Linked DNA regions of Lepisosteus oculatus. The protein of the gene in region 1 interacts with the protein of each later gene in a pairwise test. Links are inferred from orthologs where the notes say so. Each region holds a gene or a part of one and is shown on either strand. Other genes may lie near its edges. The genes, in order: bag4 and alg13.

Region 1 (16,284 bases):
CTCTTTGCCAAGGCAAACCTAAATTAATTCTACCAGAGCAGAAAACAAATCCTCAAATCCCAAATTAATTCAGCTGCACAAAATAACCTTAACTAGCTACATAGTTAGTTGTGTCATTAAGGACTGGAAAGCACCCATACACTGCCTGCCTCAGTTTCCTCCTTGGCCAGCTGCTATTATGCTGATGGCAACTTTGAAAGAGCTACAGCATTCAGTGGCTGAGACAACGTCCATGACTCAACAATATTTCAATCATTCCACAAAGCTGTGTTGTATGCCAGAGCAGAAAACAAATCTCAAATCCCACACGGGGTTTACAACAAAACATTACAAGACACTGCAAGATATGTGGCAAACGGTTTTGTGTGGTCAAACATGACAATTTTGGAACCTTTTGGTCTAAATGGAAAGCATTTCATTTGATGCTAAACCAGCCTAGTGCCTACTTAGTCCATACCATTCCTACCACCAAGGACGATGGTGGTAACATCATGTTATACTTCTCCTTGTCATCAACAGGGACTGGGAAGTGTGTCAAGACTGATGGGAACATACAGTAGATGGAGAAAAGTACTGGCAAATCTTAGAGAAAAGTTGCTTCACACCTAAAAGTGGCACAAATATTAATCTTTCAGCTTGACAGTGATCCAAGGAGCAAGGCCATATCTACAGATATTACAGAATCTGTTAATATCCTTAAGTGACCCAGTCAAATTCCTGTCTTGCATCTTTTTTACAATCTACGTAGAGACGTGCAAAAAGTTGTTTGTAAGAGATCTCCAAGCAACTTCAGCTTGAGCAAATCTGCAAAATTATACTAAGCTGATGTGCAAAACTACTTGCAGTTGTAACTGCTGTCAACAGTGCTTCCATCAAATATTGAGTTCACAGGTCTAAATACTTAAATTAGCAACATTTATGATTATTAAACAAGTTAAGATAAGATTTTTATTGTCCCCTGAGGGATTTTTTTTTTTATGAACACCCACTTTAAGATTTGCTCAAACTGTCAAGTTGGAAGGGGAGCATCAGTGAACTGCAGTCTTCTAGCCTTTCCACAGACTCTCAGTGGGATTCAGGTCTGGGCTGTTGCTGGGCCATAGGGACTTCATTGTGACTTTGGCTGTGTGCTTGGGATTGTCGTCCTGCTGGAATGTGAATATTTATCCCAGTCTAGGGTCTTGTGCTTTCTGAAGCACGTTCTCCTCAAGGCTTTGCTTGTACGTGGCACCGTTTCCTTCTCTCCTGACACGTGGCCCAGGCCCTGCCACTGAAATGCATCCTTATAAAATGAAGCTGCCGCCACCAGGCTTCTTGGAAGGGATGGTGTTACACAGGTGATGAGTTGTGCTCAGTTTGCACCTGGCATAGTGCTTTCTATTCAGGCCAAAGAGATCAATACTTTTATTTACGACCAAGGACCATCTTGCCCAATTGCTCAGCTATGTTGCATACTGTACCCTACAAACCTGTCTATCTCCTCAGAATTCGGTCATGGAGATGGTTCCTTAGTCTCCATGGTACAGATTCTTTGACATGGACAGTTAGTTGGGGGATCGTTTATCGATAGGTATGGCTTCAGAAGAAATGCATCAACCAATTGACCTGACCACTGGTAGAATCCAGTTAAGAAGGAAGTTCGATGCAGCCAGGCTCTGTTTGGAGTGTCGTAAAAAAAATATTTTAAATTATATGCAAGACAATTTCCCAAACTCTTCATTCCCCTTATTTGTGCAGATCACTGCCTCTCTGACAGACCCACACGTGCACAAGCCGGAGCCGTTTAGATAAACCCACCCCACGCTCCCTGAGTGTGAGATGGTGCTCGGGGAATCCCACTCACAGCTGGCTAGTGGCCTGACTCGGGCTTGAACCCAAGGACCTTCTCCACAGAGAAGTTCAATTTTGTCTCTCACATTAGGCTAGAAGCCAGGGCTGTGGAGTGCTAGGTTAATGGGATGAGAGCTCATTTCATTTCCTCCGTGCACTGCAGTCTACTCAGAACTACAAATGAGGGACAGCCATGTGGTGGTCAGGTGTCCCATCGAGTATGGAGCAATGCACTCGTGTCACAGAAAAAAAAAAAAACTCTGGCCAGATAAAACACACTGCTCACTGTACAGATTTCCCTTATCTTCAACACACTGTTGGTGCACAATACCTGCTTGAGCTAGCCACAAGTAATTAATTTAATATAGCTGAAAAAACAATTCTAAATGAAAAAATCAGGATAAACTAAAGAGCGGGAACAAATACAGTAAGACATGGGTCTTTAAGTATTCCCAGCACCCTATATATATATATATTCAACAGTCAATCACAATTAAGTGTTATATTGCACGAAAACAATACACTAATATTTTTAAAGACCAAAATGTTGACAGTTTTTTAAACAATTCTTAGATTGTTCTCTGTTTATTTACATGGCAGCTCAAAACAGCCACCGTTATTCTGACAGAATAGTACAAAAAACAAGAAGTCCTTTTCATTTAAGAAACATAATATGAAAATAACTACAGCAGCTTAAAACAAGTGCTTTGTTGCGATTTGCCCTGGCGTCCAATGTGACACATATCAAAGGTAACAAAAAGACGATTAGTTTAGATCCATAATTCGCCATTCATTTGAAATACTATTAGACAAAACAAAACGTGGCAAGTTCTGTTAGGGGTAAATATTTTCTTTCCTCTCCCTTCAGGACATGATCATGTTAGTTTGTGAAAACAACAACAACCTGTCATCATCTTGGTTTTAAAACTGAAAGGTCCAATTAAAATAAAAGGGATTCAGTATTCATCTAGGGTGTCTGCTCGTGGGATAGACAGTCCACGGTCCTTAAGTGCTTGTAGTTTTAATTTCTCTGCCTCTTGTTTAGCCTGCTGTTCCTCCCTCTGCTCTTCCAAAATCTCCTCAATGGAAACTTGCTGCAGGACTGTATCACTCTCCTTCTCCAGATCCTAGGAATCAAACACAGACCAGTTTAAGGCTCTCTGCTGATTTGATCTATTTTTATTTGATTAGTTAGATGTGCAGTGTGCTAAGATAAAGCAAGCCTGGGCAGAGAAAAAAAAAGACAACAGATATTCTAATAAGGCTGAAAGTTACGATACATCATCCTCAGTTTCCAAAGTCCTTTATAGGATTACCAGTGGAGCGTCCTTTATAATGTTTTCAAATTTCTGATTTGGAGATAATTTTTTCCCTTCTACATACCCAGAAAATCACAGATAATTTTTTCTAGCATCAATAGATCCAAGTTTTTGACTTCACTTAAGTTCAAAGTCTTTCCAGTTGATTGCAGTGAGATACCTTGCTATCATATGTTCGATAAATTGATCTTTTCAGAGGCATGTTCACAATGTGCTGAAAAGCCCAACTGCGCTACACATCCAGTAATTGTATATGACAAATGTACTACCATAGGTAGTGCCAGCTTCACCCTGCTGTGAGAATCTTTTACTTCCATTACATTTAATCTTCTGGGTATAAGCCAGTGACAGAGCTGTTTTCAAGACAGCATTCAAAGGGAGTTTGAGAAACTGGGTATTTACAACCAGATCAACCGCCATTTTTTCAAGCCTATTCTTTTTTGTGAAATTAGTTTTTCCAGATCAGTTTATTTTCAGAAAATAACAAAAACAAGTCTGTGTATATAGGACTGATTCAAGGAAACCGTTTTCAGAGCCACATCCTTAGAAACATTCCAACTGATGAAACAAGCTGCTATAGAAGGAGAAGCCTACTTACTATTTCTCCAAGCAGAACAACATTTTCCCCCCTCACTATAAATATTCCTCGAGGGATGTCTCCATACTTTCTGCCCACATGGATACGTTCCACTGTTTGATGCAAGACTAAATTAGCTGCAAATTAAACGGAAATGCAGTTAAAAATCCATTAGCAAGGAACTCTCAAATGCACCGATTCGCAGTGATCAAGTTAAAACTTTTTTCTTTCTGAAATGTTAGCTCCAAGATATAAAAATGTGGAAGTCTCAGTTGTCACAACACAGAATTTAGGGATTGTGATTAACATAACTACAGGATTTACCTACCAAGAGAAAAAACAGCAGCCTTTTTCGTTGAAATTGATCACTAACAAAACAACTAAGAAAATTTAACTGAATGCAACAAGAAATGAACTCATTTTAAAGGAACCAATTTCATTTCCGAGTTGTATGATGATACGCATGTCCTGGCAAATTGCATTTTTACGTTATCCCCCAAGTTGAATGCAAGTCACGGAGAAAATCTTTAAAGCTAAACCCAAGTGATCCACAATGATTCATACCAAACTGATCAATACTTCGCAGAAATCCAATCAGTGTTCGCCCGTCTCGTAGAAGGACAAGATGTTTTTCTGCAAAAGAAAAAAAAACCAATACAGCAAAAGATCTTGAGGGTAATCAACAATCAATGTTTTCACTATCGTTCACCACAGGACGTGCAACGACATCATAGTCAGGAACAAATAAAAACAATAACTTAATTGAGCAATGCAATGAAACATTTGATGTTTTAGTCTCCACTCATCGACAAGTATTATTAAATGTTATAGGGAAATAACACATGCATGGCAGCTAGCCGTAATGTCTTATGTCCTTGTAGGTCGGTTTTACCATAACAGAAAAGTAAAATGATATGTGCACGTTTATTTTGCGATAAATTATTATTTTCTAAACCGTTTCGACATGGTTCGACGAGGTGAGAGTTAAGGGAGGAATTGGGACACCTAACCTGAGGCATTCAAATATTGACTAAACAACATCGCCGTTTACTGCATTTTCTAAGCAATACCAGTCACTCACATTGAAAAACAACACGGGGAAAAGCCGCTTTACTAGCTGAAAAAAATAACAATACACCGCTTGCTCTTTCACAACCGAGCAGAGCTTCACAAGATACATTGTAAGGTACGGATCAGCAGTAATTAAACGTATTACTTACTGTCGATATCCTCAATTAGACTCGCTGTTCCCGGCATATAATTCATTTTCTTAAGCGCTATTCAACTATGCTATTTTAAAGTTGGAAATAATTATAAAGAGCCGTTTTCTGGCCATGAATCATTCAAAATGTGTGTATCCTTGCCTTGACAGGAAGTGCAAGGTTAGTGTAAGACCTGCACTTCCTCTGTGATTTAACTCTTTATTTGATGTTCCACTTAAGACAATTTACAGATCTCGTGAAGAGTGAAAACGCTAAATTGGGGATAAAAACATATTTATTGGCATAGTTACTAGTGGATATGCATGTTATAAATTAAATACATTTCACATTTGTCGTGCTCTTTTGTGTGTAACGAGTTGAGTTCTATTGATTGCAAATTTGAAGCAAATTTCAATATCCTACCGGAGAATTAGATATTACGCTACTATGGAGTGAGAGCAGAGAGACTGAAGAAGTTGATTTGTGTTATATACTCCCTATTCGTATTCAGTTGTTTTTAACTTGTCTTGTTCCGATTGAGAAGAGTCAAAACGTTACTGGAATATAAACTTCCCACCATGTCTGATTCAAGGTTAAATAGTATTGATTTTACATCATTAGGATTACCTAACCAATTTATATAATTAGTTATGCAAATTATAATCAAGAGACCAAACTCAATGATGGTGTTAATAAACACAGCCGTTACACTGTGCCATCATATAGCACCACGAAGCTTAAAGGAACGTATTCTGCAAGTAGATATGACAAATATTGACGCATCAAGGATGCGTTATTCCATCCCAAATGTCCCTAGAGATACTTTAGAAGAACCTTTGACGTCCCCTTTAAATTCCCCGGCAAAAACCAGAAGTGACGTCAGTCAGAAGGGCACCAAGACCCCGCTTTCATCTATAGGTCGTTTTCCAGGATGTAGGTGGGACGTGTTTCCGAGTTCTGAACACCTATTGGTCAAAAAATGATTTAACCTATTGACGTAAGAAGAGTGTGCCCTCATGTAATAATTGCCATCTAGGACGAGGAAAGCAGAGTTCCTCAAACTTAAAGGGGCGGTACACGTTTCGCGTCTCATTGTTTTATGTGGTTGTGTTCCGTTTTAAACGCACAGCCACAGAACTCTAACCGTACACTGGTTTAACAAGGAATGTCAAGTTGGTAAAATCGGGCTCAATGGCGTACGATTCGTTAGGCAACGAGAGAGGTCGTGCAAATGGTGGAGATCCTGTATGGGCGATGCACCAAATGCAATCAAATCCCAAAGGAACCTGGCCTCCTTATAGCAACAACTCGGAAAACAACAACTGGAATGCCCCTATGGTGACAGGCAGTCGGGTAAGTAGTGCTTAGCTTAGGATGCATATTGGTGATCTTTCGTGTAACTTGTGGCAGCGTTGAATAGGCTATGGGGCTTATCTTCAGCAGCTACAGTAGGATACCTTATAGATGTTCGAATCTGGTTGAATACCTCGTTTCTTCTTAATTGAACTTTATTATTCATTAATTTCCTTCCAGTATTTTCACTCGAGTGTCACACATTAAACGACTTGTCGTTGTCGTTGTTGTCTTAAGTACCGTATTAACCCCTGTATATTTTTACTATACTGTGCTGATGTAACAGCACACAGGCTTAGATCAACAGAACTATAAGACGGACATTTAAGGCAGACAATAACTTAAATTACTTAAAGCTACTTAAAAGCCGACGTGTAGAAGCAGTTTTCTTAACCACCTAAAAATATTTACTGGCTCGGCATCGTACCGTACAAAGAAGAGCAAATAATTCAAATAATTCCTTATCTTAGGTGCATAGACATTTTACCAAATATAAGGCATGACCAGAGGGAGCATAAAGTTGTCAAATAAACTTTTATTTACAGTGCAGCAAAAATGTGTAAAACTTTGCAAGTTAATACTAAAGTCCAAACCACAGTTTATAAGTAACCAGTGCAGTGATCGCAGGAGAGGGGTGGCATGAATACACGTGATTGATATAGATTTTATGAGGGAGTAAGCAGCACTGCTTTGCACAATTTGAAATCTTTCAGTTGTGTTTTAGAGATACCAGGATCAGTCCTAGAATAATAATAATTAAAAAAAAAACTAAGACGAGTTTCTCAGCATACGATAGTCAAGCAAAATACAAGTACTTCAAAACGATGCTCTAACATGTTGGTGGCCAAACCACTGGTCCTGGAGAGCTACAGTCCAGTAGGTCCTATAGTAACCTTTTAAATCTTAATTCGTAAATACATTGAACTTGTTTCTCAAGTGATTTTGATTTCATTTCAGATCAAAAATTCGTCTCGGAACTGAATGTCCTGCTTCTGTGGTCAAAATGAAATTGTTTCAAGCATTTGAAAATGGATTTAAGGGTGACCTTATGACCAGCTGGATTGTGCCTCTTCAACACCACGGCTGGCCACCGCTACTGTAGCTTCTTATTATACACACGATTATCAAATGACTGCCTTAAACTTCTGGATTTGTCAGTCTGATGCTGAGAACAAACTAATAGAAACTAATAGAACCTCAGTTTTATTATTAAGTTATGAAATTTTGATACCTACAAGATTACATGCAAAGACTGTTAGAGTATGTGACCTAGAAATTAGGTCATTATTATCACCAGCATAGAAACAATAAGTGTTCTGCCTCTGTATTATTTGGATGAAGGGTAATATATACTGTACTATAGTTAGTGGATAACAGAGAGCCCTGTTTTATCGACTCCGATGAACACCAGTAAGGAACAGGTTTGTGGAAGAAGTACAGTGAAGAAGTGATACACACTGTCTTTTTGTACAGACAGGACACAAACTAACAAAGGACAGAGTTAGTAATGCAAATTTTAAATTGTTTAAGGGGATTGTTATAATGGACAGCGTCAAAGGCAAGCAACACAAGAATGGTCTAGCAAACAGAAATGGTCATTAACAAATAATTTACAACTCGAACCACAGCAGTTTATGTGCTGTTTTTTAGCCTATACAGAGACTGAAATGGAAAAGTTTCACTTAATTAATTTCTATTCAGATGGGTTTGCAACTGAAGGATCACACTAGAACAGTTGTTACAAAGAAAGATGTGAAATGAGTCTGCCTTTGCTCAGGGTATTTTTACTTAATTACTTAATAATGAAAACAGGTGGTCATTTTAAGTATTCCAGCAGTCAGGTCAGATGGAGTTTTTTGGAGATTCCAATCATATTCCTTTAGTTCTCAAAGCAGAAATATTTGATCTGATGACAGCTTTCATCTTCCAAAAATCAGTCACTAGATAAAACAGTTTTTGCTTTGGTAGAATGGACTCATAGATTAAACAGATTGAGTGTTTTCTGTCTGATTTCCATTTGCATTCAAATTGACGACCTGCAGAACTGGACCCCAGTTCATCAAGTTTCGGGACAATGATGCCCAGCTGAAAAGTTTAATCATATCCTTCAGTGACAGAGAACCATGATTATAAAGACGTGATTCTAAACTAAACTCAAAAAGATCTGCCACCAGGTTTGTTCAGTAAAACATTTTTTTTCCATGTGAGTGTCAATTAAACATTTTGACCATGGTGTGTTTAAGAATTTTGTTTTGCATTTTTCTTGAAATGACAGCCAAAAAAATAGAATATTAAAAAATCAGTTAACGTTCCAAGAGTATTGATACACGGGGAAATGAAAATATCTCCTCTAAGTAACTAATATAATCACATTGGGAGGATGGTGGTTAATCCCTATATTCAGGTGTAGACAGCATCCTTGGGGTTTGTTAGCCTACTGTTGATAAAGGAATGCAGAACTAGTACCAACATGTTGGACAAAGAGGTCCACATGTACGATTAATCGTCCCCTGAAGGAGCTGACAGATTTTTTGGAGGAGGCTGGTTTTTGCTGTTCTGTAGTACTGCAATACTCTTTGCCGCAGTAAACATGGTAACCTTCTAACAGCTGGTTTGTCTCATAGGACTCAGTACCCTACCCTGGCTATCCATCCAACTACTGGTACCCACCATCTCACCCAGCCGGTCCATATTCAAATACATATTCTCCTGGAACAGAAGTCAATGGACAGACTCCATACAACCCCCAGGTACAGTATTGAGTGATTCTGCTTCACTGCATGACACTCAATCGGTGGACTGGCTCACTCAAGTGTTCCTCCCCTCGGTCTATAAGAGAGGTTGTTTTAATCGCATTATACTATCAAGCTTGATATTCTCAATATTCAAGTGAAAAGCCATGTGCATCAAGTTGTTTCACAAGCTATTACAATAGTAATCAATAATTGATTGGAAAACTGTGTCATATTTTATACTAAGACTAAAGCAGTAGAAGTTGTGGATAATTACATTGGATTAAAGTGGCCAAGTTGGACTGAACTTATGGAGTTTAACATGTTGAAATGAGTCCCTGGCAAGACTGAGTGCAATAACTCTCTTAAAACATATGTTCTGTCAAAATGAGTAAGAAATTTCACTTCCTCCTCTCTTAGTTTATATAGGATGTAAAAGATGTAAAGCTCTGGATACCTTTTGCTTTTGTTGTTTGTGTGCTCAGAGATGCTTTACAATTCCATTTTGCTTCACAGGCAATGCCAGCCTACCATAACGGGGTCTATTCCGGTGCTCTCCACCCCTCCAACCCCTTCTATTGTGGTGATCAGCCACCAGGAACACCCCCATACCCGTCCCAAGGGTGCCCTAATCCTGCGACAGTAGGAGTGGGCCAGCACCCTTCTCACCACCAACGTTATCCCGTTCCACACTGCCAGGGGGTAGGGTACTCATCACCGCTTTCTTCTGGGCTGGCAGCTTTGATACAGAACTAAAGTTACATCACAAGAACCAACAGCTGTTATCCTACTTTTGCGTGTCTCCTCTCCTAGGCTCCTGGTTACCCTCCTGCTTCCTACTCTCACTACGGAGATGGAGTTCATTCAGTACCCCAGAGCCATGCGTATCCTGCTCAGCCTGCAGTGCCCTCGAGACCTCCAGCCGAAGCCTGGTCTCACCCAGGGGGCTACGGGCACCCTTCTCACCAACAGTGGCAGCCAGGCCCCCAGCCACCTCCTGGCCACTATGGAAACCCTTTCCTCTCCACACATCACTCACCCTGGCCCAGCCCTGAGCCTGCCACGCCACAGTACGACCCAAAGGTAACTGATGGCGGGCTGTGAGAATTCGAATATTTTTTGGATTGCTTTGCTTGTGTAACTGCAGAGGGAAAACTAAATGTGCCCGGGGAGCTTCTAAAACAAAATCCTGTTTTGTTTCTGTAATTCCTATAAATGTGTAACACATGAAAAACACAACATATATGTAATATGAAGTAGTTCAGGTGGGTAGCTGCGTCAGCATGCGTAGGCTGCAAAGGAACAAGTAATAGGTTTATTCCATGCTGAAAAGAAAGAATACCAAACGTTTCGGCCGTGGAGCCTTCTTCAGGTGTGATACTGTACATATAATGTAGGGACCTTGAGGACAAGTTGATCCAATTTGTAAGTAAGCTATATCTCTTGCATTATTGAAATTTGTTATGGATTTGGTTTATAGAGCATAGACTAGTGCCAGCCTGTATATTCTTTTGTTAATTATTTGCTGACGAGAAAATAATTCAGGTCTAGAAATAGTGGCTTGGCTTTTGTAAACTCCCATCTGTATAATGAAGTTATTTCTAAGATGATTTTGTTGATCTATACTGTATACCTATTTTGATTTTCACTTGCCAAAGTGTTTTGATCTTTTTCATGGTTTGTGTTGTCACCTGCCTTTCTTTTTTTTTTTCTTTTTCAAGCAGGACTCTCAGTACTGCGGCTACTCCCACCCAAATCAGCCTCCTCATCCCGGTGGACCCAAGCCCAGGTCACCGAACCCTAACCCCGGACAGGGCGGGGAGTACAGCGCCCCCCCGCAGTTGTACGGCAAGACGGGAACGGCACAGGAGCCTGCCCCGCCTCGGGAGGCGTCTCCGCCGAGCGACAACCCCGGCCTGTCCCGGGTGCAGCAGGTCCTGGCTCGGGTGGGCCTGCTGGAGGAGGACGTCGACGAGTTCGTGGGTCATAAAACGGACAAGAGCTACCGCTGCCTGGAGGAGCTGCTCACCAAAGAGCTGCTGGAGCTCGACTCGGTGGAAACCGGGGGGCAAGATCTCGTCCGGCAGACCAGAAAGGAGGCCGTGCAGAAAGTACAAGGCATTCTCGACCGCCTGGAAAGGAAGGCTTTCTAGAGCCTCCCCACGTTTCTTTTAGAAAGATGCACTCCTCCCATCATCCCAGCATTGGCACAGTGGCCCCACATCCTGGTGATCCCTCCTTTTCCTGTTCCACTGACCCCTGTAACTCTTACAGGATTCTCCCATGTATATTTTAGATGAGCAATGATATTAATCATTCAGGCCATCCCTGGTCCCCGAGAGTCCAGTTTTCCAGAACCCAGCAGGATTTATGGGTCACCCATGAACCTTCAAATTCCAGACACTTTCAGCAATTTTCCTTTGAGCACCGAACCAGGTGAGTTATTCAGTTAGACCCTTTGTAGATTCTTTGAAATGAAGCCCTCTTAGCCCTTAAGAACCACCAATGTTTGTTTCTGTCTAGAATTGATCCAAACCTCACATGCCTTCCAAGTTTTAAGAAGTGGAGGATTTAGGGGTGACCCGCAGGACTCTGACCCTCCAGAGCTGGTTTTGCCACCCATGATTTCAGAGGTGTCCCAAGAGTCGCTGTAGTGCACATTCCATAAAAATTAGATTCACCTAATCTTGCTGGGGTATCTACCAACATGGAAAGGGCTAAAGTACTGTTCTGGGGTCTCTTTTTCCCTGTATCGTTTTTTTTGTCACTGATTTTTTGCATTCATTCTTTTATTTCCACTCAGCTGTTGCAGAGACATTCAGAATTGGAGTAACTAGGAGGTGCTGTTTGGGGAAATAATAGTTTACATATAATCAATATGGATAACATTTTTTATAAAGTGGATTATTTATAAACATTTATTTTTACAGATATATAATTTATAAGCGTTGTACTTGAAAACGATATCCACCCTCTTCTGGGATTCCCAGAGTACACTAGGTGTTGGTGTATATGGAGCACAAAGTGCGCTAGGTGATCCACTAATGATATGAATTGGCGTCATGTCCTTGTATGAGTAGATTGGCACAAGGCCATTGGACTTTACTGGTTTGTCTTATTTCTTACACTTACATTTTTCCTTGTGAAAATGTGAAGTTCTTCCCCGTCTGTTGTCTGTTTGGTCTGTATCCCAGTACCTGTGATGAAACAAGTTGGTTCGGCTGGGAGGTATTGGGGTCCCCTTCCCCATTGTGAGAGAGCACAGGTAGTGTCCGGCTATGTTGAGGAAGCTGCTGTACAGAGAACTTATACAGCTCTGTAGGAAATAAAACAGCTTGATTATACTTTTAGGTTTGCTTTATTTTTACAACCATTTGTGTCTATTTTTAAGTGTTTCAAGGGTTGATGTGGGCACCTTAATGTACCTGACTGTTTTCAGTCGCTTATACTTTTAATATGTAATGAGTCTGTTGTTTTCAATTTACACATTATGTGAGTAGTGGGTTTATTTGATAAAACTTTTAGTTTCGTTTTGCGTTCAGAGACATCTGTCGGCACTGATCATGAACATTCTTACCAAAGTATTTCTCATAAAAGTAGATCATTATTAATGATGAAAAGTGTAATGTTTGTGACTTTGAAGTAAACAGCTGTCTATAGTCAGGTTCTTTAAAGATTACCTGTGTTGTAGACCGCTTCTATCCTTGGTTGATTTGGGGAAAAAATAATATTACTAGTCTTACTGGCAAAATACAAAAATCATTCGTGACTTAGCAAATGATATGTTTTGATAGAATTCCCATTGTGTTCATCCCAGCTAGGTTGTTTATTCAGACCGAAAACAGAGAGACCACCCTGCAATTTTCAAACATATTGTTTGAAATCCTTAATCCATCTCTGGGGGAAAATGACTATCACGTAAACATTTTATACATCTTGAAAAGAACTATCCATTCCAGTCACAAATCATTGAAAAAATCATACAGGTCTGAATTAACGATCCAAAAAAATGCATGTTGTTGCATATAATGTCCATATTGTTTGCTGTATGTGTAAGAATTATTTTCGCAATGGCACCTTCTAAAACTGATACTGCATTTTACACAGAACTCTGAGAGCAGTTTTTATTTGAGCAGTGAGTGGAGCCAGAGGAAATGACTGTCCTACACCAGTTCATCTCTGTGTTGTCACTAGTCACAGTGTGGGATACCAGGCTGTAACTTGCCAATATCAGAATACTACCTGATCAATCTTTCAGTCTGACCAAGACCAAGACCTCCATTTGAACATTTTGTGGATGCAAAGCTTGAGAAGATGGAAAACCTGCTTATATTCTGTAACTACCAAATAAATATCCTAGAATCACATTTTTATGGGTTCCTAGAGGCACAAAAGTCATTTTTTGTGATTGTAATGTTAGATTTTTGTGTAAGTAATGAAGGATATTTTTTTCTTAGTACTGTAATATTGGCAGGCGTTTTTATCATCTACCAAATCTGTGGAGCTTTGCAAATGAAAGGAGAAAATGTTTCAGTAATCTGATCAAATTTTTGTTTCTGCTTAAAGTTCCTTGACAGTCTGAAGGGAGGATAACTATGTACATATCATCAGTTTCTTTAATAAAAGTTTTCAGTTTGTACACAACAACGTGTTTCCTTTTTATTTCAGCAGCCTCTAACAGCAAGACTCCTAGTCGATTTCTTGTATTTTTACATTTCACAATTTTTATTACTGGTTGTATCATTATTATTTTTTATACAGTAAGGACATGTGGGATCCTGCCTGAACCGATGGAAGATGATCAGGAACCAGTTTGTATAAAATGCTCGTTTCTCAGAATGGGAATGATTATGTAAACCCATTTTTCACCGTAAGTGGGCAGTGTTTGATTCGTCATTACCAAAGTAACCATGAATGACTTTGGAGATGTTATCTGTATCCCTTGACAAGACGGCTGTGTTGCACAGCACATACTGTTGAAATCAACCTGGTTGTCCACATTATTGTACAATCATCTGATTGCTTAATTAGACTTTGTGCAAGAGATTTTAATTTTCAAACTAAATTGCTTATCCTCCGTTATATGTTGGCCGTGACACATTGTACGTGCGTTCATATTTTTTTTCTACAAATTTAACGTACCCATACACTTTTAGGTGTAGTTAGTCCTAATGTACGGTTGTATACACCTGCGAATAATTGAATTTCAATAATTTTTCTTTGATGCCAAAGAAGCGTAAATCTCTGATGTTCTGTATTATTTAAAGGGGGGGGGGGGGGGGAACACGATTGTCGAATTTTTTGGGTCCGTCGACATATTTGATGATAAGACGTTTAAAGTTGCGTGTTCTTACCACTGTGAGGTCTGGAGAGCTGCGGAGGACTGTCAGCCTAGTGAAAATCTCACCGTGCAAACCTGTGGTCAAGGACGATATTGAGCCGGACAGGTCGGACTGGAAAAGACCCAGACTGGCGCGTTCGCGTTGCAATGGGATTGTTCGGGGGGGACTTTACTGAAAAGGCTTGCTTTTCCCCAGAGACTGTCTCTGAATACATTTTTGATTGACAGTTAAACTGGCTTTTTAAATTTTCTCCACAATCTCAACAATTACACCTGACCAGCGTCCATGTGACCGTATTAGCAAAACAAAAGAAACTACTGAGGTTTTCCTCTTCTTGTTGGAGAGGGACGTTGTGTGTAGACGCGTAAAATAATAATAATAATAAATGCATTTCAACTGTTTTCTCAAAATGTGGTTTATTGCTTTACATCGACACACAAATAGCAGAAGGGCATTAAATCGACGGACGTTGTGTTGTCAAAATCGTATCTAATAAGCTGTATCTATTGAATCCCCAGTTTCTATTGAACACAGTATGAGATCCCGTTTTTGATTTTTTTTCAGTGGGATCACCATTATTAAATAATAACAAAATAATTTCGCAAGAGGTACATACCCTCCGTCTAGATTTATTTTGTGACGATTATAACATTCCGTTGGTGATTGTTTTGCGGGGTGGCAGAGGGGGGGGGGTGAGTGGGGTAAGGGCAGTGGGGAGGGTGATTGATACAAATTGAGTGAGGTTCCTCTGATATAAACAAACTCATCATCCGTCGTGCCGACTGCTTAAAATAGACTGCTGGATGTCAAAAGCAAAAAACATGGCTTCTGGTAGCCTGCTGGAATATTCGTTACAGGGCTGAGAGACGTCGAGATACTCAAAGCAACAGAGAAAAGGTAGGCTTACTGTAAATCCATACTGGATTCGTCGATTTTCACATTTTACGAATAAGAGACTGAAGAAGGAACGCAGCGCACTACGAAACCAACACGCTGATTTTTTTTCTACAGATAAATCCAGGGATTTTTGTTTATTCGTTTTTCCCCCCCTAGAATTAAAATACATGTAAAAATGGTGATAGCACGTAGGGAGCAAAACTGTTTACACTTTTTTATTTCTACACTTATTTTTGCTGGTTGATTTCTGCAGGAAACCGTTCGTATTTTAATTTATGACTTACCTGTTAAAGGACTACTACAGTATGTCTGCATGCATGTTGCTTACAGCAACTTTCTGTTAAGGTTTGAAGCTCGGCTCTAGCTAAAGGATCTATGCAAAAGTAATGTTTACAAATAAGCAACAATGTGCAAAATGTTTGTGGTCCGCAATGTTGTAGTATTTTAAAATTTTGATTCGAAACACTTGTGGAACTGCTGGTTGTTGGAAAAACAATTGCAAATACAATAGGTTACCTTACATATTAATAAAGGAAAGTGATTGCTTTTTATATTTCGTTGTAGAAAATGTGCACACAAACTGCGGATTAAAGAATATAATCAGGACAATATGAAACTACTGCATGTACCAGTATCAGGAAGAATATTTATTCATCTATTCAATATCTAATGCTTAGCCCCGACAATTAAAAATATGAACAGGTCTGTATGTAGTATATTCATTTAACCCAGGATGATAAAATGAGAATGATACCGTTTATGGCGATGGGAGATGACTAAAATGTTGTTTTTAATCTCAGCAGACAGTAATGTTCGCTGTATCCAGGGCCTCCAATGGCGTTCATGTCGAGATTCTCTCGGAGCAGCTCCAGGTCTCCGAATAGGAAGGACTCCGAGCGCAGCTCTCCTGTCCTGTCTGTGTACGAGCTGGAGCGGCTGTTGTACACGGGGAAGACCGCTTGCAACCACGCGGACGAAGTGTGGCCTGGCCTCTACATAGGCGACCAGTGAGTTGCGCTTCCAGTCTTTGCT
Region 2 (16,284 bases), on another chromosome or scaffold:
GGATATTTGCACATTTAAAAATGTGCAGCTATTTTCAGAAAATCAGACAATTGATTCTCATGACGGTGAGAATCCACATTACAGCTGGATGGGATCCTTGGATCAATTAGCTATCAATTTCTAAACAGGCTAGATGGGACAAACACGTTCTCCTGGTTTGTGACTGTTCTTATATTTTTATTAGATAAAAAAATTGTAATATTTTGTACAATTTTATTAAATGGATTTTATTGAAATTCCCCTATCTGAGTTCAAGGATTTTTCAAATTCCAGTGCATCTTGAGCATGTGGCAAATATACTCCTTGTTAATTGAATGTTCTGGATATTTCCTCATTTCCTTTTTATTGGAGGTCTGGTACAGTACATTGTATCCATGACAGCATGATAAAAGAATGAATGAGCTACAGTAAAACGTGCCACACAGAAAATGATAGGTTACGCGAAAAAACTAAACAAAAGTCAGCAAAATAAAGCTTACGATTTGACATATTTTATTGGAGTCCCCTTTTCATCCAAAAAACGATACTTTGTGTCAATCACTTCTTTGGTTTTCCCCGTTTCTTCAAAGGCAGACTTCATCTCCACTGACACATACTTGCACACTGTTAAGGACAAAAAGACTCTGATTGCACAAAACAACACAATTGTTTCAATTCAAAGTTTTTGAGTGTCACATCAGTGTGCTGTAAAGCACTTTATCTTTATTGAAGATATAATGCTTCCTTCATATTTGTGGACAAAAATCTAAAGGATTCGACACTAAAACGCAGTATTTAAAGGGCAATGTACAGCTATCGAAAAATAATAGCACCAATTTAATCACCTGGACGCTTTTTAATAATCCTTTCACTATGTGTAGTGTCACTGTATAATGTAAAATTTAAGGCATGCAATCCTTCCAGAAGCAGACTGAAAAATGAATACTAAAAAACAACAAATTCTATATATACAGTATCAAGCAAAAAACACTGAAATGTTAGTAGTTAGCAGCACATGCACTGTTTTGATTTTTAGTACTGCATTCGTTACCAGTTTCACTTCTGCATTTTTGAAAGGGGGAAATTCACAAATAACGTCTTCGCTAATATATAATGAATAACATTATATTAGTATATTTGCACTTAGCTCTCTATTGGCTTTAGGGAAGCAAACCGACCTGTATTGCACGAATCGTAAAATCACCACAAAGATTGCAAACACCATTACTGTGCGCAAATGGATTCAGTAACACAATTACACACACACACCAGTCAGTAAATTAAACAAGTGCACATGAAGATCATGCAGTTTTTCCAGTGCCTGGAGAAATACTTCGGCACATTGTACATGCATTAAATAACTGAATTTGTGTTATTGGTGTTCTTTTGAGGGTGCGATTCTGTACTGTAACCCCTAAATACTGTTTACAACCTAATGTTTCAATTGGTAGAGGTGGTGGAGGGGAGTCCCCATTACCTGTAAAGCGCTTTGAGTGAAGTGTCCAGAAAAGCGCTTTAAAAGTGTGAGCAATTATTATTATAAACAGCAAAACCGCGGTTTATCGTGCACTTTTAAACTATACATTGTTGTACAACTCAATTAACACAAAAAATCCTCAGAAATCCTCAAAAAAACGATCAGAAAAAAGCAATAACTCGTAAATGCTACAAACAGCAGTTCAGCTCAATACTATTCTTATCTCACCCTCGCATTTATCCGGCAGATGCACCCATTCCTCATCTTCATCTTTTTTTGCCGACTGTGAAAACGTCGTCAGTACGAACAGGCCCAGGAGTGCCAAAGTGCGCATTACTGAATATTAAAAGAGAATGACATGAAGCAAGACCGATGCGACCTTTATACTAATATGTACTTTATATATGTTTAACCAGAACTCCCCCTCACTGTTTTTTCCTGAATGAAACTGCTATATCCGCCTTAGCCAGAAGCTACCATGCGCAGCTGGGACTAGCCGTCCAATCAGAGGCGAAGCAGTGTCAAGCTGTGAACCAATCACAGGCCGGACAGGAAGCAGGCTCAAATTTGGCCCAAGAGAAACCATGTGATGCTATAGGAGCAGAAATAGAAAAACGTCTTCCAGTTTCATTTATCTTTGGGGATCAAAACATTTTTGTGGGGTTTCTGCAAAAATAAGAATTGTATTTCCCAATGAAGCAAATATGTGTGTCACTGCATCCAGCATGGATCCATCCAGGTGGATGCTGCACATTGGTGGTGGTGGAGGGGAGTCCCCATTACCTGTAAAGCGCTTTGAGTGGAGTGTCCAGAAAAAGCGCTATATAAGTGTAAGCAATCATTATTATTATTATTATTGCAAAATAATTATTTAATTTTACATTCGATCGAATTGTATGTTTAGCAACAGGTGCCGAACGTTTCACTTTTTTTTCCTTTTTTCAGTAACTTTGAAAGACACTTGTCTTTCTACAGCAAAATCACATAAGCCAGATCCTATCAATACAGCATCAACGCTCCCACAGCTAACATTAAAACTGATCTCTGTAAACAACTCCCTTCTTCAATGCAACATAATGTCATGAATTGTACTGTATAAAGGTGCAATATTGCATATTGCACGTATGAAAGGGTTTTTCTTGCTTATAATTATTCTCTTCTGCAATGGACTGGTGTGCCGTCGAGTATGTATCCTGCCTTGTGCCCATTTGCTGGCCTCGATCCTGCATTGAATAACGAGGTTAAAGGATGGATGAATAACGATGCACTTTATTCAGCTCAGCATGTTTAACTGAGTAACTGTCAGTCCTGCACCTTTTTATGCAATATTTAAACAGGTTTTTTGTTGGAATAAAAGCTATCAAAGTAAATGACTTCCTATTGAAAGAAAAACAATTCCTTAGATATTTCAGGTTCACCATTACATTACAGGTTTAACATAACATTACTACACCCTCTTGTAGTTTTAAATGTTATGATTTTGGAGCAAAATGTATCTAATTAAGCACATAAGTACAAGAAGTGACTGAGCTCTCAGCTGTATGAAAGGGCATTCAATAAAAAGACTTGTAGAAAAATGACAGGATAGTTCTATCTACCTTGAAATAGCCTAGTTTCCTTAGAAATAAGAGTCTCTTTTGTCCTTTTTTAAAATGGTCACAGCATTTGTCTCAACTCGGGTTTTTGTTTATGACCAGTTCCATGTACTTGTAGTCACTGACAATTTCTACAGTCTGACCATTAATTACAGTATGTTGGAGGGGTATTGCATTTTTTTTCTCAAATCAATGACCAGCTCCTTTGTTTTTGGAACATTAAACTGCACAGAGAGGCCGTCGTACCATTTAGTAAAGTCATTTAGAATGGGTCCATGATGGTTTTCTGGGTCCCTTAATAAGGTGCCCAGGGCTGTCTGTGTGTTTGCTTTTACAATCGTTAGTTTACAGTAGGGGAGCAAAACACAGCCCTGCGGTGATCCAGTGGAAGTATAGCGAATGTCAAATAACCAGTTCCCCAATCTGACCCGTTGAGTCCTATTTGTTAAAAAGTTACTGTTTAGTTTGAAGTTCTCTGAGTTTCTGTGCAACCAACAATGGTTGTATTGTGTTAATAGTCTCTCCAGGTTTTTCATTGGAAGAGATACAAGAGCCACTGGCTTGAAGCTGTGAAGCTCAGTTGGCCTGGCAGTTTTTGGAACAGGGATAACGATGGGTTTCTTTCACAGAGAAGGGATGATTTGTAGATTTAAGCACATTTGAAAAAGCATTCTGACAATATCACACAGCTGATCTGCACAAGATTGCAGAACACTTTCACACACATTATCTAGACCTGTGCTCTTTCTCACATTCATTTTCTTAAATGGCTTATAGTACATACCTCAGCTGGTTCAATTTTGATAGACTCTCCAGATACTGGGAGGTCAGCACTGTAAGTTGGGGGGTGGTTGTGGTTTTCATTTCAAAATGGGTGTAAAACACATTTAAATCAATTGCCAGCTGTTGATTAACCATGTCATTTAACACAGGAACAGTATTACCCTTATTCTCGTGAGTGATACTGGCCACGGATTTAATACCCTGTTATGCCGACCTTGAATCTCCCACAGCCATGGTATTTTCTATTTTTATCCTGTACTGTTCCTTTGCTTTCCTTATCTCCCTTTTGACTTCTTTCTGTGCTTCCTTCCTAAGCTCCGTGTTCTCTTGAGAGAAAACAAGTTTCTTTTTAAGCAAAACACGTTTATGGCTCTTGGTTACCCGGGGTTTGTTATTGGGTTAAACCTTAAGGCTTTTGGTAGGAATGATGGATGTCTACACAGAAGGAAATGTAATCGGAAACCACCTCAGAGAGTTTGTGAATATCCTTTGATGTGTCTTTAAACACATCCCTTTGCGTGCAGTTGACACAACCCTGTAGCTGTTCAGTTCTGTCCGTGTAGCAGACGGTCATATGCCTTCTCCAAAAGCAGAAAACACATGTGGACTGGATTATCGTTCTCTCACGCACCCTCAAGCAGCTGCGCCAGGGAACAGAGCTGGTCCACTGTTCCACGGCTAGGATAGAATCCACATTGTTCCACCTGCATCTGAGGCTCAACTACCAGGCGAAGTCTCCTTTCCAGTATCCTGGCATAGGCTTTCCCATGGAGGCTGAGGTGAGTGATCTCCCTATAGTTGGAACACACCCTCTGGTCCCCCTTCTTAAATATAGGGAACACCACCCCAGTTTGCCAGTCCAAGGGTACTTTACCCACCTTCCATACAACATTGAAGAGGCGCGTTATCCAAGCTACCCCAAACACTGTCCAGTGCTTTCAACATCTCTGGTCACATCTCATCCACCCCCGCAGTTTTACCACTATGGAGTCCTCGGACCACCATACTGACTTTGGCAACAGTGATGGGCTCCCCTGCACCAGGTATGTCTGTCATTGTCTTCTGATAGGAGGGCACGTCCACTGGGTTGAGTAGTTCCTCAACGTGTTCCTTCCACCATTCAACAATTTCCCCAAAAGAGGTCAGTACTACCCCCTCCCTGCTTACCACACCTGAATTCAGTAATGACAAAGGTGTACAATTTCATCTTAGAAAACATTGCATTTTTAGATGTGTCTACCAGATTAAACCATACTGTTCTATGTTGAGATAAATATAAAAGTAAAAAAAAGGAATGAAGGAATTATGATCTAGAATTCCCATTTTACTCATGAAAATCAACCCTTTCCTTGTTTGCAGGTAGCCATTCTTATTGACTCCAATGTGACAAACATCAATGCTCTTCCCAGGACTATGAACAACAAAAGTATGTTATAGGCTTATTCCATGCTGAAAAGAAAAGAAAGAAAACACATTGTTTCGGCTGTGGAGCCTTCTTCGGGTGTAAGGGATTCGGGTGTTGCCTTACAGGCTTAGTGTTTTTTTTTTTTCACCATGGAATTAACCTATTACTTATTCCTTTGCAGCCTACGCATGCTGACGCAGCTACCCACCTGACCTTCTTCAACTGACCCACTATGCCTTCCTCTAAAACTTTTTCTAGATCTCTTTGTCGTTCCTTCTCTTCCTCCCTGGGCTACTTGCCCCCTTTCTTACTAAACCAGCATTCCGGCTCTTCACAGCGATCTGTTCCAAGACCAGGCTTTCTCACCACCTCCTATTCTTTTACTGATGTCGTTGTTAAAATATAATTCGTAAAGGATTTGGCCTGAAATTGAACACTTTTTCTTTCGACTTCGACTCTGACGTCACATAGAGTAACACTCAGAGACTTCTACAACTTCTACTTTTATTTAAAATAAATTACTCACACCTGAAGAAGGCTACACAGCCGAAATGTTGTTTTCTTTCATCTCTTTTCAGCATGGAATAAACCTACTGTATTACTTGTTCCTTTGCGGCCTACGCATGCTGACACACCTGAACTACAAAAGTATGTTGTCCATTAATGGGGAAGGCACTGCAGCTGCTTTCCAGGTCAACACTTGGGACAGGATATTAAGATAAGATTACTTTATTAGCCATATACAATTTCTTGGATTAGGAATTTGTTTTTTCACATACCCCAGCTTGCTCTCCATGAGACACACAGGCGGGTCAACTGTTTATATGGCGTCCCTGGGGCAGTTGGGGTTAAGGGCCTTGCTCAGGGGCCCAACGCAGTAGGATTCCTCCACCGGACACCGCATTTGAACCAGCAACCTTACAGCCACTGGCGCAGATCCTTAGCCACAGAGCCACTGCTCCACCCCTATTCCACAGAGCACATCATACTCCACGATGGCAGCAAAGGCCTGAGGACCCAAAGAGAAATCAGGTGGTCCATTCCTTCAGGGGAGGGGCTGAGAATGTGACACAGAAGTTCATTCTCATCTGAATAGTGATCTCCACCCTGCTGCCAAGAAAAGACATGCAATACCACACAACCCAAAGAACTCTGAGATCTCAAGAAACCTACAGTACCTCATGACCTCAGCATGTGATCCCAGCACCCAACATCCAGCAACATCCCAGAGAGGAACAGTAGGACACACAGCACCTTCTGATAAACCACAACTCACAGCCAAAATAAGTAATTGACTGTGAAATAGCCTCCCCCATTCCAAAGTAGTGCATGTATAATAGTGCCGTAATCTAAAAGTCCTAAAAATAAAGGGAAGTTTCAAAGTTTCAATAAAGGAAAGAAATCAAAGAAAGGTTCTGAAGGTTACTGGGTACTGTGTACTCTCAAATCAACGGGCTTGAACAGCATGGATCTACTGGTTAAAAAGATATTGCGTGCAGAACATCTTTCCTCCCGTCAAAAATATAGCATTCTTAGCTAAGCCTTAACACAGAAAACAGATAATAAAGAGTTTCAGAAATCAATGAAAGGTTGAATCCAGATGCTTAATTGTGACCTATTTTGAGTAAGGTGTATTTTTCTTCATATGGTTCTGTGCAAGTATTAATTTCGCATAATTACCTGCAGAATAGCAATTCTGGAAATCTAGTGCACGCGATACACCGCGGTTCCACCATGTCGTACATGGTATGCCTATGCGTAATTGCGCATACACAAAAAGGTTCGGTTTCTAAAAATGCAATTAGCTGTTGGGCGGGGCCATATGTGGGGTTGGTGGTATGTGTACATCACACTGTGTTAACACCATATTGTTTTAATGTTGTAGAAAAAGTTCTCAAACTCGTGATTTTGATTATAAAAATGACAAGTGGTTTGTGCGTTTTCCTTGCAAAGTGACGTGTATCTGTACGGAAGCGCATTGCCACCATCAAGGGAAAAAAAAGAATGACCATTTGAGTGTATGAACAACCTGTGTAATGACACCACCTAGTAACCATTATTAGCCGAGCAACAACTTTAGGGGTTAGTGCTCGCGACAATGTCAAACATTGCATGGTGTGCACGGACTGACTTTCCACTGGGGTTTATTCAAAGAAAATGTTCATGATTTATTTTCTCGTAATTACGAGATAACGCATAAACTATGTTTTCCCTGATGGCAGCAATGCGCTTCCGTACACCTGAAACGCCGGGTGTCAGAAAAAATGGGCATTTAAATTATAAAGCTGTGAAAACACACTTAATCATGCTTAACAAAAAGTAGTTTGATTTATCTAAGTCATTTTAGTACGCATTTGAAGTTCCAAACAAATCGATATCGAACATTGAGCTAAAAACATCACCCAAATGCAATTTATACAAGTGTTACCAACTCCCAAAAATAAATTAAAAGGTCTCGGACAAACTATTATTTGCTTTTAAGCACAAATGGCCAAGAAGGCTCAATTTCTAATTTACGTAAACCGTTTTAGCCACCTGAAATTGCTTTGCTAATTAGAGCACTTTTGTACCGGGCCGTTTCGAACGTCTCTCTCTCAAAGGAATCTTTCAGGCATCGCTTTCTTTCGTCTCTACACGGTGAGACATAATGTACTGCGTTTAAAATGCAAAAAGGCTTAAAGAAATATTTTATGAACATGGATGATTATCTTGCAAGCATTGGCCTTTACAGAAAAATGGTAGCAAGGGACGCGTCCTGTCTTTTCCGAGCGGTTTCTGAGCAGGTAAGTCAGCACATATATTTTGGAATAAAGCTGTTGCACCTTTCACAACATTTTCGAATTCCCCACATTTCGGTGTTTGTGAATGTCGTGATCTTTGCTTTATAAACCTTAATACCCAATTGTTTATCGACTTGTTGGTTAAGTGTAAAAACAAGGTAAACACATTGCAAGATTTTATCATATTATTTGAACATGATAAAGTATTGTAATTAGATGTGTAATTGTGTGAAATGTTACGGTCTTGGCTCTCCCATTTTCAGAGACTTAACACTTAAAAACGCATAATTTCGTGTAAAGCTTATGTTTGTGTTATTCAGGGTTAATTGTTCAATGTTGCATTCAGTATCGGTTTATTTACATTATCTTTCTCTCTAGCTTTATTGCTCGCAAAATTACCACCAGGACGTCAGGAAAGCCTGTGTTGATTTCATGAGAGCCAACAGGTGCAACTTTGAACCTGTAAGTTGTCTTGCATTACATTATTAAGGCTCATTCATTTCCATTTAAAACAACGTGAAATGTAAAATAAACGCTTTTATGCTATTTAATTTAAAATAAAACGTCGACAAACACCATCGTGCCTTTATTTTGAACGTGATAAAATAGTGTAATAAGATGTGATAATGTGTGAAATGCTATAAGGTTTGGGGTTTATCGTTCTGAAGCTGACACTGCAGAAATAGTGGTTATAGAATGACAAATTCATCGAATCCTGAATACAATACACTTGAAAGATTAGTATTTAAAATAACTTGAAATTAACTCCGTCTGCAGTAGAAACGCTTTCCTAGCATTTTAACAGATATACGTAGGGACGTCCACGTGCCTCGGACGAGTAACTGAAACTTCTTGGGTGTTTATTGAGGTAAATTTAGAAACGTCTGAGGCAGTTGAATATTTTAGTTTCTTTTCGTCTTTGAAGGTTGAGGTTTTGAAATGGAAGGAATGCTCAAACTGAGCTTCAAACCTTTACTAAATGAAATGGATTACAGCATGAGACCTGCTAATACAATCGACTCTAGAAGTGTGAAAAATAATGCGATGTAATTTTCTATTTTACTCGATTATTTGCATTTATTTTTTAAAGATGCAAATTTCGAGATTATAATATAATCTGTATTTGTGTTGCCCACTCTGTCGTGTTCAGAGGTGAAAAGAGCTCAGCACAACGGACTTAGCGGTTAATCAGAAAGATAAGCAAATTAGCATGAAGGTAAAGTAAATGGCATGTTTTAAACAGGTGGCTTCAAATGATGGCTACATTAAAAATAAAACAAGTGTAGTCGGGCCATGTATGGTAATTAAACAATAGTGTCAGTTTAATTAAGGTTATGTACCCCATTTGCACTAATTGAGTTTCAGGCCAATTTCATACTCCTACTGTGTGTCAGGTGCTAACTCTAAATTAAATGCATTAGAAGATATTTTAAGCAAACTTACATGCCACTGCTTTAAAAAAAGGTGCTCAGGAACCAGCCCATCAAAGACTAGCAAGACTGGTAAAACCTGGAAGTCCTATGCTGACAGCCTAAAAAATATTTTTTAGGATTGAAAAAGTTCATATGATGATGAGGAAACCCGATACAAGTATTCAAAATCATCATTGGCATTTAAAGTAGAGTTTTTTTTAGAATGAACTGTAAACAGGATCCAAAGGACATACGTGGAAACTGAGTGGATGTGCATTTGAAAGCGGGAATAGGAGACTTTTCTTTACACAAAGGGTGGTGGAAGTAGGAAACAAGCAGCTCAGCCGTATAGTTGAGGCAGATATTGTGGCTTCCTTTCTCTGCTGGTTGGATGAATTAACTACTAACTGGCAAATAGGTTAAATGGCCTCCTCTCATTTGTAACCATTATGTTCTTAGTTGTCCCTTGAGGTCTGTATAGTTATAGAAGAAATAAAAAATACAAAATCCTGTTTTAAATTTTCTAAAAATCCCTTAAATTGGGATTTTTAATCATGGAATACCTTTTCTGTTTTCTTTCTTTCTAGTTTGTGGAAGGATCTTTTGAGAAGTACTTGCAGCGTCTGGAAGATCCAAAGGTACGCCCCTCTGTGATTTATCCTGAAACTCCTCTCGATGTGAAGCTTTAAGTGGTTCTGTAATGGTGTCACTTCTTGTTTTAATGCTTTTCATTGTAGGAAACGGCTGGCCAAGTGGAGATTAAAGCTCTTTCTCTGCTATTTAAGTAAGTTATTCTCTACCGTGGGGGTACAGTGTGCAACGATAATTGGGTTCTGTGGCACCTTCTGTATATACTTCCCTCTAAGCTGTAATTGTTTTAATATGATCACAGTGTTCTGATATTACGTTCTTAATAGAGGTTTCTTAAATACTTTAAAAAGAAGTACAGCACTAACATTGCATAACTGCAAGGACTGGCACTATGCTGGGGAAGAGTAATCACTAGATACGGATTATATACATTAATGCCAGGTTAAATACACAACACCTTCATTAATGCAATTGGGTAAATGTCTTCAAAGAATATTGATTTAGGTTTTGTTTTGATTTCACCACTATGAAAGACGTTTAGATCAGTTCTGAATATTTAACACGCCTTTAACGGGGAGCTGTTTGAACAGGTAACTGAGGGGTTGATCAGTGATCATAGCTACTTAACTAGTTTATGATGCTGAAGAACACCTTTTTCTAGAACTGAAAGCAAGTTCAGTTTGAACCGAGCCCAAGGCAACCGAACGTTCCCATTCCATTAAGCCTTCCCATTCGGAAAGCTCTTCATGCATGTTTTCCCCAAGTGGGTTGATTAGTCAGCGTTAAGGTAATCTGAGAGGAGCTTGTGAAGAAGCCTGCTCGCATATGGTGTTAGTGCTGTAGTTCAAATTGGAGATGAATAGTTTTTCAATTACGAACTGTTTGAGCTGGAGCCCAGAATTGCTACTGTTGTAAGTGTTTTAATATGCATGGTTCATGCTGTTCTGTTTGCATTATGAATTGCTCACTGGACAGCTTTTCAAAATCTTTTAATTTGACCTCTTATTTATTTTGAACCATATTCTGGTTTTTATATTTGATTGTAGGCGCCAGTTTATCATTTATAAGTCCCCTGGAAAATCGCCTACTGAAATTGCTGAGAATGAGTGCCCAGAAAAGGTAATGAGCTTTGTGAAAAGGATTGTCACTCTTCTTAAACCACCCGTTTTCCTGAAACCTGGCATAGTTCTGTATTTTTTGCAATTGTTTAAATAATGAGCCATCTGACTGAGGCAAACCTTGGGTTGAAACACCTATCATTAACCTGCATGGTCACAACCAGGGTTTTTTTTGTCCTTATCCTATGGTTAGGAGGTCTGATGTACAGGATTTTGAAGATTTTCCTTAGGTTGTGATTCTGGAGAGGTGCTTAGAGCTCTGAAAAAGATTGCAGGCATTCAGTAACAGTCTCCCTGTTATTTGAAGGTTAAGAGAGGGGTGCGAATGTTTTGTTTACAGCTGATGTACAGTTTATTATTTGACTGCCATCACTTTAGATGGAGAAATGTCCCAGATCAAACTTAAGGAAAATATTTGCGTTTGTTTACGTCGCCTGACTTCAAGCCAAAATATAGATTGGGATTTCAGGTGTAGTCTTTCAGTGAACCCTGGTAAAGGCTTGATATATTTTTTTACTTCACCACTATGGGCAACAGTTCACATCCTTTCCTTAAATGCATAATGCCAATTATCAGGTTTCCCTGATTTACTCAGAAGTAACTTTTTTTACTTGAAGAGCAGTGCTGTGAGGTTTAAGGCACTAAATGTGGAAAAACAAAATACTTAGTAACACATATTAGTGTGCCTGTGAACACCATTGATTCTGGAAGTCAAAATAATAGTGTATTTCAGCAGCAAACCATAAACAGTCCTAGGCTTGCTGAGCACTGCAGTTTAAGAATTGAGTAAACATGCAAGAAACTGACCAAATTCCAGGAAAATATTTAACAGTGCTGTATTTACAGTATATTGGTGTGATGGGGGGAAAAAGGAAAGCTTTTATTGATAGTTATTCCTGTAATTTGCATAGTAGGCTAAAATATTACAAAAAACATCTAAATATTTCAAAACAAACTTTTAGCAGAGGTCTGGCGAGATTCTTTGGAGGATGGAGGATGGGAACATTTTAGGAAATAACCAAAGTACAGTGCTGTAACTGTATAGAAATTTACAGATTTTGATATTTGAAAAAGCCTCACCTAGATCTGGAATAAAATAAATTGCTAGACAGAAAAGGCAGGTTTGTAATCTGTGGAAACACTTTGTTGTCTGGGCAGTCTTTCAATAAAAAATCAGCAGAGACTGTCTTGCTTTGAAGGCGGCACTAATGTGATATTCGCCATTGTTTAACCCTAAGCTAATACTTAAGTGTTCTGGTGAGATTTAAAGTTAAAATGAACTGGTAAAATTTGGTGCTTATATTGGCTAAATTAGTTTTTGAGGCTTATGGTAATTGAGAGTAACTGAGAGTTACTTTTGCAAACCTTGTTCTTTGGACGGGTGTCTAGTGGTCTGTGGCTGGCACTGTCCAACTTGCTACTCTTAGAAATGGAAAAAGGCTAATACACTGGAGCCATAAGGACCAGAGGTTGTGAATGCTACAACAAAGAGGTTTAATCTAAGATTTGAATATTTGTTCTCCTAACCCCCCACCCCCCTTTTCTGTATTTGTGTTGATATTTTGGGATTTATAAGGAAAAAGACTACAAGTGCTAACATAATGCTGTGTAGTACTTTTAACAATTAGATGAGACAGCTCTTAAACAGCAGATGGAGCCATTTCTATGCGCTACAGGCAGCAGAATTTAAATATTTTACCTATCATATGACTAAATGTAAACCAACTGTGAATTTCTAGCTGAGTTTATCGATCTAGACATTTGTATTAAAAATTCATGATTGGGGGTTTTAATTTTCTTCTTTGTGCATTGTATAACAGCTTTTGTGTTGCTCAGATGTACAGTATTAAATTTTATATGGAGAGCACAATCTTTCTTATTAAATTGTAATTGAACCTGAAACTCAATTTCAACACTTTCAAGTTTTTGCCATGAATTATTAAAGTTTGTGAAGGCTTTTGATATGATTGCATTGCAAATATTCAAAAAGGTGAAGCATTCCTGTTGGCCTTCTGTATATCATTTATTGATTGGTAAAATACTGCCTAGAGAAGACCTTCCATTCAGTCAAGAGACACCATGTGCATTGAATTGTCCCTCCCTTGGTTTCAGATTTTACTGTGCTGCTCCAATAATGGCCACTATGATATTGTTTATCCAAAGCACTACCCAACTGATGCTGCCTTGTGCCAAGGTGAGTACTTCAGTTCAGGAGGTGCTCTCTCCAATTCCAGTGTCAGCTGAGTTATTTGAATAAGCTCTTGATTGACTCAAGCAACTTTTGGTTCTTTAACTGCTTAAGATATTAAGTTTGATTTAAAAAAATAATTTGAATATTTTTGTCAAGAATAGCTCCCTTGATATACACATTACAGTATGTAGTTCTTGGAAGGTCAGCTGTTAAGTCTCTAGAAGCTTAGTTTCCTAGTTGCTGAAATGATTGTGGTATTTTTTGTAATTACTCTTGGGTGTTTGGGTTTTGTTTATACAACATTTTTAAATCTTGCATTTCTACTCCAGATTTTCTCATACTTTGAGGCGCTTGAAATAAGACTACTATAAATATAAACTTTTATAAAATCCTTTATGCTATAATACATTCTAAGTGACCCACTGTGTCCTAAAGAAGCAATATTCATCGTCTTCTGAAATTATAATAATGAACTTCATTTTATATAGCACTTTTAAAGGTGGCTTCTTAAAGCATTTTACAGAATGACAACAAATAGAAGAAATACACAATGAAAACACATAATGAGAAGAGACAGTAGATGGGGGTATTAAATACAGAAAGAGCAAAGCAGTATATACTGTACCAGCACCAGTTAAGTTCTAAATAATTTAGGTTAAGGTTTTAAGACTAATTTGAAAGGGAAGATGACTTTCTGACACAATTGTATCCGTTTTTAGTCATTACTTTTAGTCATTACAATTGTAATTATATTCTTGTGATTTGTAAAAAGTTTACAGAGCTTTACTGGAGCAGTATTTTACAGCTAATCTCTCTCAGTGATCACGAATGCGCAAAGAGAGAACTCACAAGTGCATTTTACTCAATGCAATTGGTGAGGGAATGACAAACAGAATATTTGGGGTGGACCTATCTTCTATCCACCAGGTTCATTTCTGAAAAAAAAAATGAAATGTATGTTCGCATTGCTGCCTGGAGCTGGAACTGGAAACCCCCTGGAATTAATCCCAGGACCCCAGTGCTACCTAACCACTGTGCTACCTTGCTGCCCCTAATGCTATTACGGGAATAATAACTTTTCACGTCTATAGGGTGCCAAATGGAGATGCTTTCTGATTTTGCTGTTCTCTTTCCAAGGTATTGTGTATGAGCTGCTTTACAGCAGAGTGTTCAGCATTGAAGAGGTAGAGATCCAGGGGGCACTGGAGGCCTTCCACAGTGGCGGGCACAGATACCACAACAGCACCTCTGTGGGCAGTGAGGATGCCAGCTTTGACACCCCTGATGACAAGACCCAGAGGAGCTCTTCAGAAAACAAGTAAGGCCTTCCATGATGCGCACATTCCAGAATATAGAGAACACCAACCCCCTTCCTTATTATTATTATTATTATTATTATTATTATTATTAGTTATTTTGGAGTCTGCTTCAGAACAATGGTTCTGTTTTGTAATACTGTAGTAATTTGGAAAATGTTTACACCGGGAGGAGGCTTAACCATAAGAGACTGTTCTAACATGCTATAAACTCAGGAAATGACTTCTCCCATCTCAATTCAAGCAATGTTTCTTTAGTTTTTCAAGATGGTGGTTCGAGCGTTAATGCACATCTCCTTTACCACGATAAGGATGACGAGGCTTATTTCTGCGAAAGTATTGTCTTTAATGCATAAATTGCAAAATTTTAAAGGGCAAAGATTACTTACCTGACATGATTCATGTTTTGATGCATTTCTGAGCTCCCATCTTATGTTGTACACTTTCTCTAATCTGACCTTGCCTCCTCTTATTACACGTAGAAGGCATGATTCCTTATGAAGTTATGCAGTTAGGACTCACTGTGACATTCCTATTGTGTCATTATGCAATTCATTTGGAGCATACAAGTGTTATACATTATTTCTAAAGGTCAGCCACAATTCTTCACTCTGGGTTTAAACTTTTAAGAATAATTCTTGCATCCTTTTGCAAATTCTTAAGCTCAGTAGTGGGTGATTATAGTTTATGGTTGCCTGCAGGCAACTGAAAGAGGATCTGAGAATTTTGAGAGTGGAGCAGGAGTGCCCTGCAGGAGTTGAAGTCAGTTCTCAGTGGTGATGTGGTCTGGGTCATACTTAAAGCTGTTTTTCAGTTTTCTCATCAATACATTTTGCCCGTGTATTTTTGAAAAAGCATACAAAACCTTGGATACGCTGATTTATTTAGTATGTTAGTAGTAATCTTTAAAAGTGCACCAAATTTGATATCAAAGTATTACTGCACTTTTGTATAGCCAAGGCACAGATGTGAAAAGCCCATGTCAAATACAGTTGCATTAAAGACTTGACTAGATCTGTACATATGTATTTCGTGCTTGACGAAAGTGCTTTTTTTGTTCACCCCAAGGGCTAAATTATAGATTTCTGCTACAGTTTATTGGACTTTATTTCATGTAGATAAGCTGTGTGAATTCATAAGACGTTGTGTACTCTAATTCGGCAAAAATAATACTGAAAGGAGCAAACTGTAGCTGTTATTGCGTATTCAATGTGCCCATTCCCTGTACCAGAAACATCTGAACTATTATTTTGAATGCAGTCCTGCTAGAGACAGTGAGAATTAACTTGGACCTTTTATAAACTGCCATTGGAGACTATATCACTAAGGACAATCTTGTTTTATTGGCTAATTATTTCCATCTATAATTAAATAGCTGATTTTTAACAATACTTTTTGAGGTTTTTAAAAGAAGGACTTCATAATCGATTGTAAATCTGCCTTAGGGAGGAGTGGGAGACAAGTGGGCAGAACCGCTGTGAAGGAAAACTTGGGACAGATGATTCTAAGGTGAGAATTGTTTTCAAACCTGAGGGGGTGGACTATGGCCCACTGCTGAGAGATCTCAATGTTGATCATGTTAAACTATATATAATGTGAATAATGATTTAGACAGTTGTCAGTGTTGTCTATGGAAC

The links.
Region 2: the proteins of bag4 (region 1) and alg13 interact in binary tests that used the Homo sapiens proteins (3 or more experiments, as listed by UniProt). The link is inferred for Lepisosteus oculatus from reciprocal best matches to the Homo sapiens genes BAG4 and ALG13.

Annotation. Positions count from the first base shown.
Region 1 is NC_090697.1:70,605,207-70,621,490, forward strand, and holds bag4 (BAG family molecular chaperone regulator 4), read left to right. Parts: upstream 1-5,943; 5' UTR 5,944-6,119; coding exon 6,120-6,281; intron 6,282-8,905; coding exon 8,906-9,031; intron 9,032-9,529; coding exon 9,530-9,715; intron 9,716-9,826; coding exon 9,827-10,096; intron 10,097-10,734; coding exon 10,735-11,166; 3' UTR 11,167-13,660; downstream 13,661-16,284. Other genes in the region: dual specificity protein phosphatase 26, read left to right, coding at 16,087-16,259. UniProt on the Homo sapiens protein: Inhibits the chaperone activity of HSP70/HSC70 by promoting substrate release. Prevents constitutive TNFRSF1A signaling. Negative regulator of PRKN translocation to damaged mitochondria.
Region 2 is NC_090703.1:39,616,668-39,632,951, forward strand, and holds the start of alg13 (putative bifunctional UDP-N-acetylglucosamine transferase and deubiquitinase ALG13), read left to right. Parts: upstream 1-7,806; 5' UTR 7,807-7,902; coding exon 7,903-8,022; intron 8,023-8,397; coding exon 8,398-8,481; intron 8,482-10,018; coding exon 10,019-10,069; intron 10,070-10,168; coding exon 10,169-10,215; intron 10,216-11,068; coding exon 11,069-11,141; intron 11,142-13,252; coding exon 13,253-13,334; intron 13,335-14,468; coding exon 14,469-14,649; intron 14,650-16,092; coding exon 16,093-16,156; intron 16,157-16,284. Other genes in the region: cnpy3 (protein canopy homolog 3), read right to left, coding at 480-603, 1,685-1,790. UniProt on the Homo sapiens protein: Catalytic subunit of the UDP-N-acetylglucosamine transferase complex that operates in the biosynthetic pathway of dolichol-linked oligosaccharides, the glycan precursors employed in protein asparagine (N)-glycosylation.